2 linked regions of the Anolis sagrei genome follow. The protein of the gene in region 1 interacts with the protein of each later gene in a pairwise test. Links are inferred from orthologs where the notes say so. Each region holds a gene or a part of one and is shown in the gene's direction. Other genes may lie near its edges.

What was found. The genes of interacting proteins can lie anywhere in the genome.
Region 2: the proteins of AP1M1 (region 1) and endosome-associated-trafficking regulator 1-like interact in binary tests that used the Homo sapiens proteins (3 or more experiments, as listed by UniProt). The two-hybrid records come from large-scale screens. The link is inferred for Anolis sagrei from reciprocal best matches to the Homo sapiens genes AP1M1 and ENTR1.

What each region holds. Positions count from the first base shown.
Region 1 is NC_090034.1:59,407,815-59,415,838, reverse strand, and holds the start of AP1M1 (AP-1 complex subunit mu-1), read left to right. Parts: upstream 1-5,024; 5' UTR 5,025-5,086; coding exon 5,087-5,128; intron 5,129-8,024. Other genes in the region: RAB8A (ras-related protein Rab-8A), read right to left, coding at 1,135-1,195, 4,609-4,732. UniProt on the Homo sapiens protein: Subunit of clathrin-associated adaptor protein complex 1 that plays a role in protein sorting in the trans-Golgi network (TGN) and endosomes.
Region 2 is NC_090025.1:164,068,001-164,074,130, forward strand, and holds endosome-associated-trafficking regulator 1-like, read left to right. Parts: upstream 1-4,508; coding exon 4,509-5,630; downstream 5,631-6,130. UniProt on the Homo sapiens protein: Endosome-associated protein that plays a role in membrane receptor sorting, cytokinesis and ciliogenesis. Involved in the endosome-to-plasma membrane trafficking and recycling of SNX27-retromer-dependent cargo proteins, such as GLUT1.

The sequences.
Region 1 (8,024 bases):
ATTACCACCTCACCCACCTCATAGGAAACCTGCGACAAAACAAGACCTTTTTTGTTGAGTTTCAGGGCCAGAGAAGAAGATGGCGCCAGAAACAGAAGAACGGCCTGCCTCAGGGAAGTGTGCTTGCTCCATCCATGTTCAACATCTACACAAATGACCAGCCACTGCCAGAAGGGACAGAGAGTTTCATCTATGCAGATGATTGTGCTATCATCGCTCAAGCAGGGAGCTTTGAGATGGTAGAACAGAAGCTCTCTGAAGCTCTAGATGCCCTTACCGCATACTACAGGGAAAACCAGCTGATCCCTAATCCATCTAAAACACAGACATGTGCTTTTCACCTTAAAAACAGACAAGCATCCCGAGCTCTGAGGATCACCTGGGAAGGAATCCCACTGGAGCATTGCAGCACACCCAGATACCTGGGAGTCACTCTGGACCATGCTCTGACCTACAAGAAGCACTGCCTGAATATCAAGCAAAAAGTAGGTGCTAGAAACAATATCATACGAAAGCTGACTGGCACAACCTGGGGATCACAACCAAACACAGTGAAGACATCTGCTCTTGCACTATGCTACTCTGCTGCTGAGTACGCATGCCCAGTGTGGAACACATCTCACCACACTAAAACAGTGGATGTGGCTCTTAATGAGACATGCCGCATTATCACGGGGTGCCTGCGCCCTACACCACTGGAGAAATTACATTGTTTAGCCGGTATCGCACAACCTCTAGTGTGATAAGGTTTATAGAGGGACATGTATCGCTGGATGGTTGGGGAGATAGACAGACAGACAGATAGATAGACAAATAGGAGTCAAGTATCCAGACAGAGGAAAGTAATAAAGGAAATGCTTGACAATAGTAAAAAATGAACATGAGCCAAGAGTGTGCCGAAGCAGCAAAAAAGGCCAATGTGATCCTAGGCTGCAGGAAGTTGGACAGTCGCCTGTTCTGCCTGGGAGCCTGTGTGAGTCTCCTTCGCTATAGGCTTTGAATCAGAGGCTGGGTGGCCAGCTGCCAGGAGGGGTTGGGTTGTGCTTTCCCTGCCGGGTGGAAAGAAAAGGTTGGACTGGGTGGCCTTTGGGGGTCCCCACCCAACCTTAGAATCCTATGAAATCGGATGTGTACCAGATCTGGAGTTTGATCTTTTTCCCATCGAGGTCAATTGTCCTGATCTTGAAGTCAATGCCTGCAAAAGAGAAGCGGGGTTACCATCTGGGGGATCTCACAGGGTGAGATCTTGTGTGGAGCCCCAGATTGAGGGAGATTATCAGCAGTCTTGTATCTCTTCCATTTCCTACGGTTGATGTCTTCACATCAAGCCGCTTGCCTATTGCAGTTTCAGTCTTCCCAGTCTGGTGCAGGGCGACAATTTTGTTTCTGGTGTCCTTCGACAGCTCTTTGGCCTTCACCAGAGTGGAGTCTGGAGTGTGACTGCTTCAGGTTGTGGACAGGTGTCTTTTAGACTGATAACAAGTTCAAATAGGTGCCATTACTACAGGAGGGCAGAGGAGCCTGTCTATGAGACCCAGAAATCTTGATGTTTGTAGGTTTTGTTTTTGTCGTGTCAGGAGCAACCTGAGAAACTGCAAGTCGCTTCTGGTGTGAGAGAATTGGCCATCTGCAAGGACATTGCCCAGGGGACGCCTGGATGATTTGATTTTTTTTCATCCTTGTGGGAGGCTTCTCTCATGTCCCCGCATGAGGAGCTGGAGCTGATAGAGGGAGCTCATCTGCCTCTCCCCGGATTCGAACTTGCGACCTGTCGGTCTTCAGTCCTGCCGGCACAGGGGTTTAACCCACTGCGCCACCGGGGGCTCCTATAATAACAATAATAATAATAATGGAAGAGACCCCCGTGTCTTCCAGCATCTGAATAATAATAATAGTAATAGTTGGAAGAGACCCCCAAAGGCCATCCAGCCTCTACATAATAATAATAATAATAATAATAATAATAATAATAATAATAATAACAACAACAATAATGGAAGAGACCCACGTGTCATCCAGCATCTAAACAATAATAATAATAATAATAGTAATAGTAATAGTTGAAAAAGACCGCTAAAGACCATCCGGTCTCTGCATAATAATAATAATAATAATAATAATAATAATAATAATAACCCACTGCGCCATCGGGGGCTCCATTGTTTGTAGGTGACCAAATACTTATTTTCCACCATAATTTGCAAATAAATTCATTAAAAATCAGACAATGTGATTTTCTGGATGTGTTTTCTCATGTTGTATCTCATAGGTCTACCTATGATGTCAATTACAGGCCCCCGGTGGTGCAGTGGGTTATACCCCTGTGCCGGCAGGACTGAAGGCCAACAGGTCGCAGGTTCGAATCCGGGGAGAGCACGGATGAGCTCCCTCTGTTAGCTCCAGCTATTCATGCGGGGACATGAGAGAAGCCTCCCACAAGGATGATAAAACAGCCAGGTTGTTAACAGGAGTGGCACTCAGGGAGCACACCACTCCTCTGTTGCGTCAACTCCACACAATTCCGGGCACAATTCAAAGTGCTGGCTTTAGCCTTTAAAGCCCTAAACGGTTCTGGCCCGACCTATCTGTCCGAACGCATCACCCCCTATGAACCAGTTAGGACATTAAGATCGTCCGGGGAGGCCCTGCTCTCGATCCCGCCAGCCTCACAGGCACGGCTGGCGGGGACGAGAGACAGGGCCTTCTCAGTGGTGGCCCCTCGGCTGTGGAACGCCCTTCCCGCAGACATTAGGTCGGCCCCCTCCCTGCTGACGTTCAGAAGAAGAGTGAAGACCTGGCTCTTTGAACAGGCGTTTAATTAAGCAGTGCAATTAACTGATTGATCTTGGAACTTGGAATAATGGACGAGGAAATCGGATTATGACTTTACTGATGAGACGTGATGAGTTAGTTATTATGGATGTATTGATGTTATATTGATGTATTGATGTGCTGTTATATTATTTATTTATTTATTTGCTTTATTTCTATACCGCATTTTTCAGCCCTTAACAGGCGACTCAATGCGGTTTACATGGTACAATTATCAAACAGTGTCAGTGCAATTAAAACATAACAATGGAACAAACAGGATCAACAGCATCAATCCACAACAGTTAACAATCAACAAGACAGATCAACAAAACAGACATAACATAACGCCTCAGTTGAAATCAGATCCGTTCTCATAATCCTTGTGCCATTCCTATGTTCCATTTACCGTCTTCCTATGATTGGTTGCACTGCTTAACCAAACGCTTGTTCATAAAGCCAGGTCTTAACCATTCTCCGAAACGTCAGCAGCGAAGGTGCCTGTCTGATGTCTGCCGGTAGGGGCCACCACTGAGAAGGCCCTGTCTCTCGTCCCCGCCAAGCGCACCTGTGACGCAGGCGGGATCGAGAGCAGGGCCTCCCCAGACGATCTTAATGTTCTGGTCGGTTCATAGGTGGAGATGCGTTCGGAGAGGTAAGCAGGGCCAGAACCGTTTAGGGCTTTATAGGCTAAAGCCAGCACCTTGAATTGTGCCCGGTAGCGGATTGGCAGCCAGTGGAGCTGGTTCAGCAGAGGAGTGGTATGCTCCCTGAGTGCCGCTCCCGTTAGCAACCTGGCCGCCGAGCGCTGGACCATCTGAAGCTTCCAGGCAGTCTTCAAGGGCAACCCCACGTAGAGCGCGTTGCAGTAATCAATCCGGGATGTAACCAGAGCGTGGACTACCGTGGCCAAGTCAGACTTCCCAAGGTACGGGCGCAACTGGCGCACAAGTTTGAGTTGTGCAAATGCTCCCCTGGACACCGCCGAAACTTGGGGTTCCAAGCTTAGCGAAGAGTCCAGGATCACACCCAAGCTGCGAACCTGCGTCTTCAGGGGGAGTGTAACCCCGTCTAACACAGGCTGTAACCCTATACCCTGTTCGGCCTTGATGTAGTTGCCTTAGTTACTGTTTTTAAATGCTAGTGTTGTGCACTTTGTATATTGACCTGGTTGTAAACCGCACTGAGTCGCCTACGGGCTGAGAGAGTGTGGTATACAAATAAAGTAAATAAATAAAACATCAAAAAATCATCCAGGCATCCCCTGAGCAACGCCTTTGCAGCCGGCCAATTCTCTCACACCAGAAGCGACTTGCAGTTTCTCAGGTTGCTCCTGACAGGACGAAAAAAAATACAGGCCTCTCTCATCTTTTTAAGTGGGAGAACTTGTACAATTGGTACCTGACTAAATACTTCCCCCCTCCCTGCATATATATATATATATATATATATATATATTCTCAGTTATCCAGGGAAACCCTCAAGCAACTGACAAAAAAACCTACATCAAAGACAGAATGCTTCCAATGCATCACTTTCAGAATACACTAAACCAGTAAGAAGCCTGTTGCATCCAGCTTGCCCTAACCAAGCGCAGAGTGGATGCCCTGGGAGATGGTCCAGCATGAGGCCTACTTGGAGCCCATTCTCCCCTCAACCGGAAGAGGAGCCCTACTGCTCTCCAGCTAGAAGGTGGGCGTTCGTTGCCATGGCGACCGGGAGGTGGGTCCGGGGCGTCGCCATAACAACCCCTCCCTCCCCTCCCTCAATCCCACCGGTTGCCTGGCAACGACGCACCGATGGTGGAAATGAACGTGGCGTTGAAGGCGTCCTCGCTGAAGCGGAAGAGCGCGCACGTCTTGCCCACGCCGGAGTCGCCGATCAGCAGCAGCTTGAAGAGGTAGTCGTAAGTCTTCGCCATGTCTTCCTAGGCCTGCGAGGAGCCGCCGCGGCTCGCGATAGGCCCACGTCGCTGTCCGTCAGAACGCGCCGGACTCCCATTGGCTTGGCCGTTCGCCGGCGCACTCCTCCTCGAGCAGGAAGAGTGGGGAAACTTGTGATTGGCTGCGTCGGCGCTAACGTCCCGCCCATTGGCTAGAGAAACTTGCAATTGGTCCGTGCGCTGGATGACGTCAATAAGGAATGAGGCTTGTCCGCTCTAGAGTGGGGAAACTTGCGATTGGTGCGTGCGCTGGCTGACGTCACGGTGTGGTCCGCCCGTTGCTTGTCTGGCCGGAAGCGGAAAAGGAGCTCCGGCGCCTGCCGCGGATCCAAGATGTCCGCCAGCGCCGTCTACGTGCTGGACCTGAAGGGAAAGGTGAGGTTTCCTCTCTTCACCATTCTTCTTCTTCTTTTGTGATTGTTATTAGGTGTACTTGGCTTTGGACCTGCCTTGTAACCTGTCCTTCTAGGCTGGCTGTACTGTTATGGCAGATGAGGAGAAACGGGTTTTAGTTGGGGCCTTTCCCCCTTCCGTTGCCTTAATTCGCTCTACGAAAGCTGACTGGCACAACCTGGGAATCACAACCAGATACAGTGAAGGCATCTGCCCTTGCGCTTTGCTACACAGCTGCTGATTATTTATTTTATTTTATTTATTATTTAAACTTATATGCCGCCAATCCCCTGGGGCTCGGAGCGGCTTACAAGAATAGCTAAAATCTAACAAAGTTTAAAAGCAATTTAAAACAATTTAAAAACAACAGTATCAAACATTAAAAGCCTGTTGAAACAGGTATGTCTTACATGCTCTGCGGAAAGCTGGTAAGTCCCGCAGGGCACGAACTTCAGGTGGCAGAGTATTCCAGAGTGATGGGGTAACTGCTGTAAAGGCTCTGCATCTGGTTGCTGTTAGACGCAAGGTCTTGACACTGGGGGCTTCCAATAGATCTTGGTCCTCAGAACGGAGGGATCTCTGGGGTTGGTAGGGGGTGAGGCGGTCCCTCAGGTACATTGGCCCCAGACTATGCAAGGCCTTAGAGGTGAGTACCATCACTTTGAAAGTGATCCGGTGCTCAATTGGTAACCAATGCAGCTGCAGTAAGATTGGAGTTATGTGGCATCTCATCAGAATTCCCGCAAGAAGCCGAGCAGCTGCATTTTGTACCAACTTGAGCTTCTGAATCACCAACAGAGGGAGGCCAATGTAGAGGGTGTTACAGTAGTCCAGTCTTGAGATGACCGTGGCCTGGATCACCGTAGCTAGGTCGTCCCTGGACAGGTAGGGGGCCAGCCGTCTAGCCTGCCGCAGGTGAAAGAAGGCGGTTCTGCTCACGGCGGAGACCTGGGCCTCCATTGTCAGCAGAGGGTCCAAAAGGACTCCCAGACTCTTTACCAATGATGACGGGCGTAACGCCTCGCCATCCAAGGTGGGCAGATGGATGTCCCCACTGCCCGGTCCACCCAGCCATAGGATCTCCGTCTTTGCTGGATTCACCCTCAACCTGCTGGCACGCAGCCATCCAGTAACAGCCTCGAGGCACTGATGGAAACAATCGGGTACAGAGTCCGGTCGGCCTTCCATCTTCAGCACCAGCTGAGTGTCATCGGCATACTGATAACACTCAAGCCCAAAACCTCGAACCAGCTGAGCAAGTGGTCGCATATAGATGTTAAACAACAGAGGGGAGAGAATGGCCCCCTGAGGAACCCCACAAGATAGAGGGGACCTCTCAGAGACCAGGCCTCCCCTCTCCACTCGCTGTCCACGGTTGTGAAGAAAGGAGGACAGCCAGTTTAAAGCTGCCCCCCTGACTCCAGCAACATCAAGGCGGTGGGTCAAGAGATTGTGGTCGACTGTGTCAAATGCTGCTGTGAGATCCAATAACACAAGCAGTGCTGACCCGCCCTGGTCAAGCTGGCATCGAAGGTGATCCATGATGGAGACCAGCACAGTCTCTGTCCCATGCCCCGCACGGAAGCCGACTGGAAGGGTTCTAGTCCGGCTGTGTCGTCAAGGAATTGCTGCAACTGCTCCGCTGCTGCCCTCTCAATCACCTTGCCCAGGAACAAGAGATTTGAAACTGGGCGGTAACTGGAGGGAACCGAGGGATCTAAATCTGGTTTCTTCAGCAAAGGAGAGACCACCGCCTCTTTTAAACCCTCTGGAAAGACTCCTTGCTCAAGGGAGCTGTTTATAATCTTCAACAGAGGGTCACGTGATCCCTCCAAGCAGGATTTCACCAACCAAGAGGGACACGGATCGAGGGAGCAAGTGGTCGGTCTAGCTGCAGCTATGAGCCTATCGACAGCCCCTGCATCCAGTGGGATGAACCGGTCGAGGATGGGCCCAGCAAGTGGCCACGGGGTCTCAACTGCATTCCCAGTGTGGAACACATCTCACAACTGCGTTGTTGTAGGCGTTTGGGGGCTATATGACCATGTTCTGGAGGCAATTTTTCTCCTGACGTTTCACCTGCATCTGTGGCAGTGGTTCTCAACCTTGCTAATGCCGTGACCCCTTAATGCAGTTCCTTATGTTGTGGTGACCGCAAACCATAATATTGTTTTCGTTGCTACTTGATACTTGTCATTTTACTACTGTCATAAATCATAATGTAAATATCCGATATGAGGATGGATTTTCATTAACTGGAGTAAATTGAGCACAAATACCCAATATGCCCAAATGTGAATGCTAGTGGGGTTGGGGAGGATTGATTTTGTAATTTGGGAGTTGTAGTTGCTGGGATTTATAGTTCACCTGTAATCAAAGAGCATTCTGAACTCCACCAGCGATGGGTTTAAACTGAACCTGGCACACAGAACTCCCATGACCAACAGAAAACCCTGGAAGGGTTTGGTGGGCATTGACCTTGAGTTTGGGAGTTGCAGTTCACCTACATCCAGAAGAGTGCTGTGGATTCATGCAATGATGGATCTGGACCAAACTTGGCATGAATACTCAATATGCCCAAATGTGAACACCGGTGGAGTCTGGGGAAATTGACCTTCACATTTGGGAGTTGTAGTTGTTGGGATTTACAGTTCACCTACAATCAAAGAGCTCCACTGGCTACCGATTAGCTACCGAGCCCAATTCAAAGTGCTGGCTTTGACCTTTAAAGCCCTAAACGGTTCTGGCCCTACATACCTATCCGAACGTATCTCGGCCTATCAGCCCACCAGGACCCTAAGATCTTCAGGAGAAGCCCTTCTCTCCATCCCGCCTGCTTCACAAGTGCGGCTTGCGGGAACGAGAGATAGGGCCTTTT
Region 2 (6,130 bases), on another chromosome or scaffold:
TAATGTCTGACTCTGGAGGGTGGTGCTCCTCTCAATTTCTAAGCCAAAGAGCTAGCATTGTCCATAGACACCTCCAAGATCATGTGGCCAGCATGACTCCATGGAGCACTGTTACCTTCCTGCCGAAGCGGTATCTATTGATCTCGTCACATTTGCATGTTTTCGAACTGCTAGGTTGGCAGAAGCTGGGGGTAACAGCGGGAGTTCACTCCACTCCCCAGATTCAAACTGCTGACTTTTTGTTCAGCAAGGTCAGCAGTTAATCAAAGTGTTTTGTATTATGGCTGGTATAAAACTTCGAATATATATATAACACACATAAACTTTGAATATATATGACACACACTACTAAATCCAAGTCTACAAAGAAGACATGCAGAAATTAGTATGATTTCAACGTGTGCCCAAAACTAAGAGTAGTTGAAGCATGTGGAAGTTATCATTTTGTGCTCTAGAAGAAAGAGTTGGGTGTGCGCTATATTTCTAAGCTTTTTAAAAAATGTTCAAAAAACTTCTGTATTATGATCCCAGCCAATCAGGGATCACATACTGGACAGCAGAAGACAAAGGGGGGGGGGAGGCAATTATCCTAGCTTAATGGAAAGAGCAAAAATATACACTGGCCTCACTCCCTGAATAACAGAAATCTATAAAACGCAGGCCAAACTTATATATTACATACAAGGAATCATTAACACCTAACTAAACATTAACACCTAAGCTAAACATTAACACCTAACTGCAGCAGGGAAGAGCTCCTTGCCCCACCCCAGCCATTCCACAGATATATAAACCCATTGTCCTAATTCCAACAGACCTCATACCTCTGAGGATGCTTGCCATAGATGCAGGCGAAACGTCAGGAGAAATGCCTCTAGAACATGGCTCTATAGCCCGAAAAAACTCACAAGAACCTAATCATGTGGGTGTTGCCAACCTGTCCCTATCAAGCTAGTTCTTGAATTACAGGCAGTCTCCAGGTTACTAACAAGATAGGTTGTGTGGGTTTGTTCTTGAGTTGAATTTGAGTTGAAGCCCGACTGCCCATTGGAGGCAAGGATATTAGAGGCCAAGATGAAGTACTTTGGCCACATCATGAGAAGAAAGGAAAGCTTAGAGAAGACAATTATGCTGGAGAAAATGGAAGGAAAAGGGAAGAGGGGCTGACCAAAAGCAAGATGGCATCTTTGAAGTGACTGGATTGACCTTGAAGGAGCTGGGGTGGCGATGGCCGACAGGGAGCTCTGGCATGGGCTGGTCCATGAGGTCATGAAGAGTCGGAAACGACTGAACGAATGAACAACAACAAATATATATTGGGGGGGGGGGGGCTTTGGATAGCATAAGGAAGAGTGAGCACACCCCTGTGGAGTTTGTTTTGTTATCTGTGCCCCGTTCAGAGGATTTCACTTCACTTTCTGTTCTTGTGATAGCTGGATTTTGAAAAATTTGACTTGTTATGGAAACAAGTCAAATTTTCTCCCATGATAACTCCTCTTTCAGGAGTGAATTTCCCTTCCGTGGGGTAGCTTTCACTCACTTCCTGTTGTCTCACCCCATTCTTAACTATAAGTCGTTAGTAAGTTGGATGTTTCTAAGTTGGATGTTTGCCTGTAGTTAGCTCATCAGTTAGTTGTGTAAGACAGTCATTAATTTATGGATGATACAGTACACAGTGTTTGCTCTTAAACAGATGTGCTTGTGGAAGTTTTAGTTTGACTGGCCTTTGATGTTATACAGTGGCAGGGGTGAAGTGATTGTTCTTTCTGAAGAGAACAACATGCTGTTGACTAGCCCAGCTTCCTACCAGTCTATAACTACAGGTAGGGAGGAGCTCTCGGTGGTGCAATGGGTTAAACCCTTGTACCGGCAGGACTGAAGACCAACAGGTCGTAGGTTCAAATCCGGGGAGAGCACGGATGAGTTCCCTCTGTCAGCTCCAGTTCCCCATGTGAAGACATGAGAGAAGCCTCCCACAAGGATGGTAAAACATCAAAAACATCTGGGTGCCCCCTGGCCAATTCTCTCACACCTAAAGCAACTTGCAGTTATTCAAGTCGCTACACACACACACACAAAACTACAGGTAACCAGGGAGATACTAGGGCAATGAGCTGATAATACCTACAAGATTCCCCATAATGTGTTGATTTGGCCTTATGGTGGGATTGACTTCTGAGTAAACATTCTTGGCCTGACTACTTGCAACAGAATGGCACATGTGTGAGTGACTAAATGGACACCAGTTGTAAATAAAAAGCATAGTGGAAAGCAATTCACAATTCACTGTATTTCTTGCTTTAAGGTTATTTATTCATATATAGCAGTGGTTCCCAGCCTTTTTTGACCATGCACCACTTGACCACGTTGACCAAAGATCATTCTCCAACATTAGTACCAAAAGGGTTACAGATCAGTTTTTGGTCAACTTTAGATTCGGTTTGGTTATTTGGGGTGCTGATACAGAAAATTGTATTGGATAGACAACATCACCTCTAGTTTCTGATACAGAACATATGCCATCTAGTAGTCACCATCTGCTCACCCACAGAAAACCATATTTAATAATCTAGGGCCAATGCAATATTTCATGGGAAGTCAGCCTTTCCCCTCATGACATCTCCATTACCTTGGCACTATAAGAGGGTTTTGCGAGATTGGTCGCTCTCACTGTCTTGTGGTTTCGAGGCAACGGTGTAGTAATGGTGAGGCCGTGGACCATATTTTTATTATTGTGGACCACTGGTGGTCCACGGACCTTTCTTTAATTTTCAGTTCCCAAGCAGGTAATGAAATCAAGACGTTTATCAAGCAGATGGTGAGTTCACGATCCATAGCTGATGGGTTGTGTGTTAATTTGTGTGGATCACAAGCTGTGCATCACATATGTTAATAGGCATTCACGAGGCTATACAGGCTAGTATCCAGCTCCCTAAGAGACACACACAGACAGAGATAGAGATCTAAATGCATTTGTGGGGGAAATGTATGAAAACAGAAGAATCTGATAATAAAGGAGGCAATTTTGATTGAGAAAATGGCAGTCATGTTTTGCCTAACAAAAGAAACTATTGATCTGTACTTAATTTAGATAGTTATCATCAGATTCTCCAGGAAGGAGAATCAAGGCAGGTTTTCTAGTTCAATACAAATGTGAATACAAAGTAATGGTGCTGTTGTAGGTTAGGAACTGTGGTGAAGAAGCAAAGGAAAATATTTCCCATTGTTTGGTAGGATTGAAATATCAGCCCTAATGTATTTTCCAAGTGAAATGTGAAGCTGGAATGAACTCTGAAACTGAATAGGAAGGCAAACAAATAACAAACAATAATTTTGGCCAATGGAGCTATTAAATCCCAGTGCTGCTTTCAGTTCAACCCACACACAGCACTGATCAAGACAAGATAAAGTTAATTTCAAGCATAATTTTTCACAGAACTTCAGAGTTACTCAGACAGCAACACTGTGCATGAACAATATCTAATGCATTCATTGTCATCTTCATTTGAAGTCTATGCGACCAACACAGAATGTATGCAGAGCTTGTTTGCTGCTTAAGAGAATGTTCTCAGGGTCTGGCACTGTACATCACCATAACTTCTTGCTGTTGTCCCTGGACATATAATATTTCAGTTATAGCAATTCTATTATAGCACAAATGGCAGAACTCAGTGAACATTACAGACATGTATGGTCGAAGACTTTCATGGCTGGAATCACTGGGTTGGTGTAGGTTTTTTGGGCTATATGGCCATGTTCTAGAAGCATTCTCTCCTGATGTTTCACCTGCATCTATGGCAAGCATCCTCAGAGGTTGTGAGGTCATGAAAAGATGTCAACTATTGTCAAAATAGAGATTCTCCAGCTCCCTAAACCCATTACTATTTTTTGAATCAGCATCCCAAATAATCCCAGAAACAGGCCTAAAACCCAAAAGACACTAATAATTTTTATTGGACTTTGTAATCATACCTTCTTTCTTTCTCTCCACCACCTTTTAATTTCATTCAACAAAGCAACAAGATTCAGCTTACCTGTAAGTCTCCCTTGATCTATAGCTGAAACAGTATTTCAGATAGTTACTGGCACTGAAGACAGGGCCTGATACAGTAGACTATCCCATGTTACATCAAAAAATAGGATAAGATTATAATAGCAGATACAGTATCAGATGTGAACTCAACCTACCGCTCATAACTAGACATGGGTAAAAAAGCTGTAAAAACTGTTCTAGCTATTTGCCTCTCTCAAGCCTGTGAAGTCACAAAATGAAGTATTGTCAGTTGGTGACATCATAGATCCAGGTAACCTCTGCTTCCTCCACTGTTAAAGAGACGTGTGCATGAAGGTATAGATTCAGATGCTTCAGCGGGCCGTTGAACTGAGGCCAACAGCACTGGCACTATATTCAACAAGGGCTGGCTAAACTGCTTGAGGAGAAGTGGGACCTGGCCTGGTGCTAAGACTGGAAGGATGCAACTTCTATAGAAGGCAGTTGTGCCCACAAAATGCCACGGCCAGTTCTCACAGGCTGCTCACAGTCCCGAGGCCTGAAAGAGAAGGAAGAAGAAGAAGAACCCCAGCCCTGCTACCACCACCACCATCACCACTTATCACCTCCTCCAGCAGACAACTTCAAGAGCCACGTCAGCTCTGGAGACAACCCAGTGAAATACCCAAACAATCCATCTGCATTTCCTTTGAAAGGGCCCAAAAATAAGAACCGTGGTGCGGTGAGACAACACGAAGCCAAAAACAGAAGTAACCGAAGAAAAATGGCCAGGCAGAGCCTTGGTCTTGAAGATGTTTCTCTGTCTCCAGAACCACTGGGCTTGAGCTTAGAATTTCAAGAGCCTTTGTACAAGGAGGAGACTGTTGTTGATCATTTGTTAGAGGTTGACGATGAGGATGATTGGAGAGAAAGGTACGACAAAGCCAGACTGGCCAACATGATCCCGTGTGACCCATATAATTACAACTCTGCTGGCCTTTCAGGGATGGAGGCTTTCTCTTCATGGCCATTCACTGACAATGAACCATGTATTGGGTGTCCTTCTCATACCAAGATGGCTGCCCGTGAAGAACCTATAGAGGAAATCGAGTACGTGTCTCCACAGCTGAGCTACCAAGAGCTGAAGGAGGAAAATTCCATGTTGAGGAGGAAGATCAAGAGGATCCAGAACTACTCTGAAAGCCAGACACACATGGTAAGAAATCTTGAGAGGACGCTCCAAGCCACTATGAACAAAGAGGAGAAAGAGGCTCAGGATTTGGAAGCATTGGTACAACATGCAGAACAAAGCCTCCAGTGCATGACTCAAAGAGCTCTGAAGGCAGAAAGTGACATGGAGAAGATGAAGCAAGAGATGGCACTACTCCAGGCTGAGCTGACTTGCTACAAAGTGGAGAATGAAAGCCTGAGATCTGGCCAGTCCACCAACATGGGAGCAGTAAAACAGCATGTTGATGTTGCTTTGCAGAACCTCCTCCGGGTCACCAACCATGCCCATGCCACCATCAACCAGCTGGTTTTTGGAGCTGAAACACTGAGCCTCGTTGCTGAGCTCCTTAAATCTGTAGGCAGAATGTCAGAACTAGAGAATGAAGATGGAGAAAAGAAACTAACTTAAAGGACCCTCTTGCCTACGAGTGTAATGCTCCTATACTGCTGTTGAGACTTACACCATTTGCTCTCAAAATGCATGGTTTCAAATAAGCAACCTCACTCTCTTTCCCCCAGAAGTACTTTTATTACATAATGGAATATTAATTTGATATACTAATGCCTTGGGTGCTCTATTTCAAAACTACATTGTAAGGGGTCAGCACAGTGTTTGGGTCCTGTTGTTCTTCATAGAGCTGGGAATATTTGACATTCATTGGGCAATTGGGCCTTGGATGCGTGATTTTTCCCCCTTTATACCTCAGAGGGTGGGAAAGTTACCTTTGAACCTCAGTTCCCAGAATTTCGTAGTCAATGGTTTTGGGAGTTATAATCCAAAAAGTACCTTTCCCAAATTTTGTAGTCTCTTAATGGCATTTTGGAGCACGAATGTACAGCAGACAATTCAAACTGAGGCTATGGCAAAAGGTGTTTGGGACTCCAATGCCCAGATGTCCTGGCCATCTT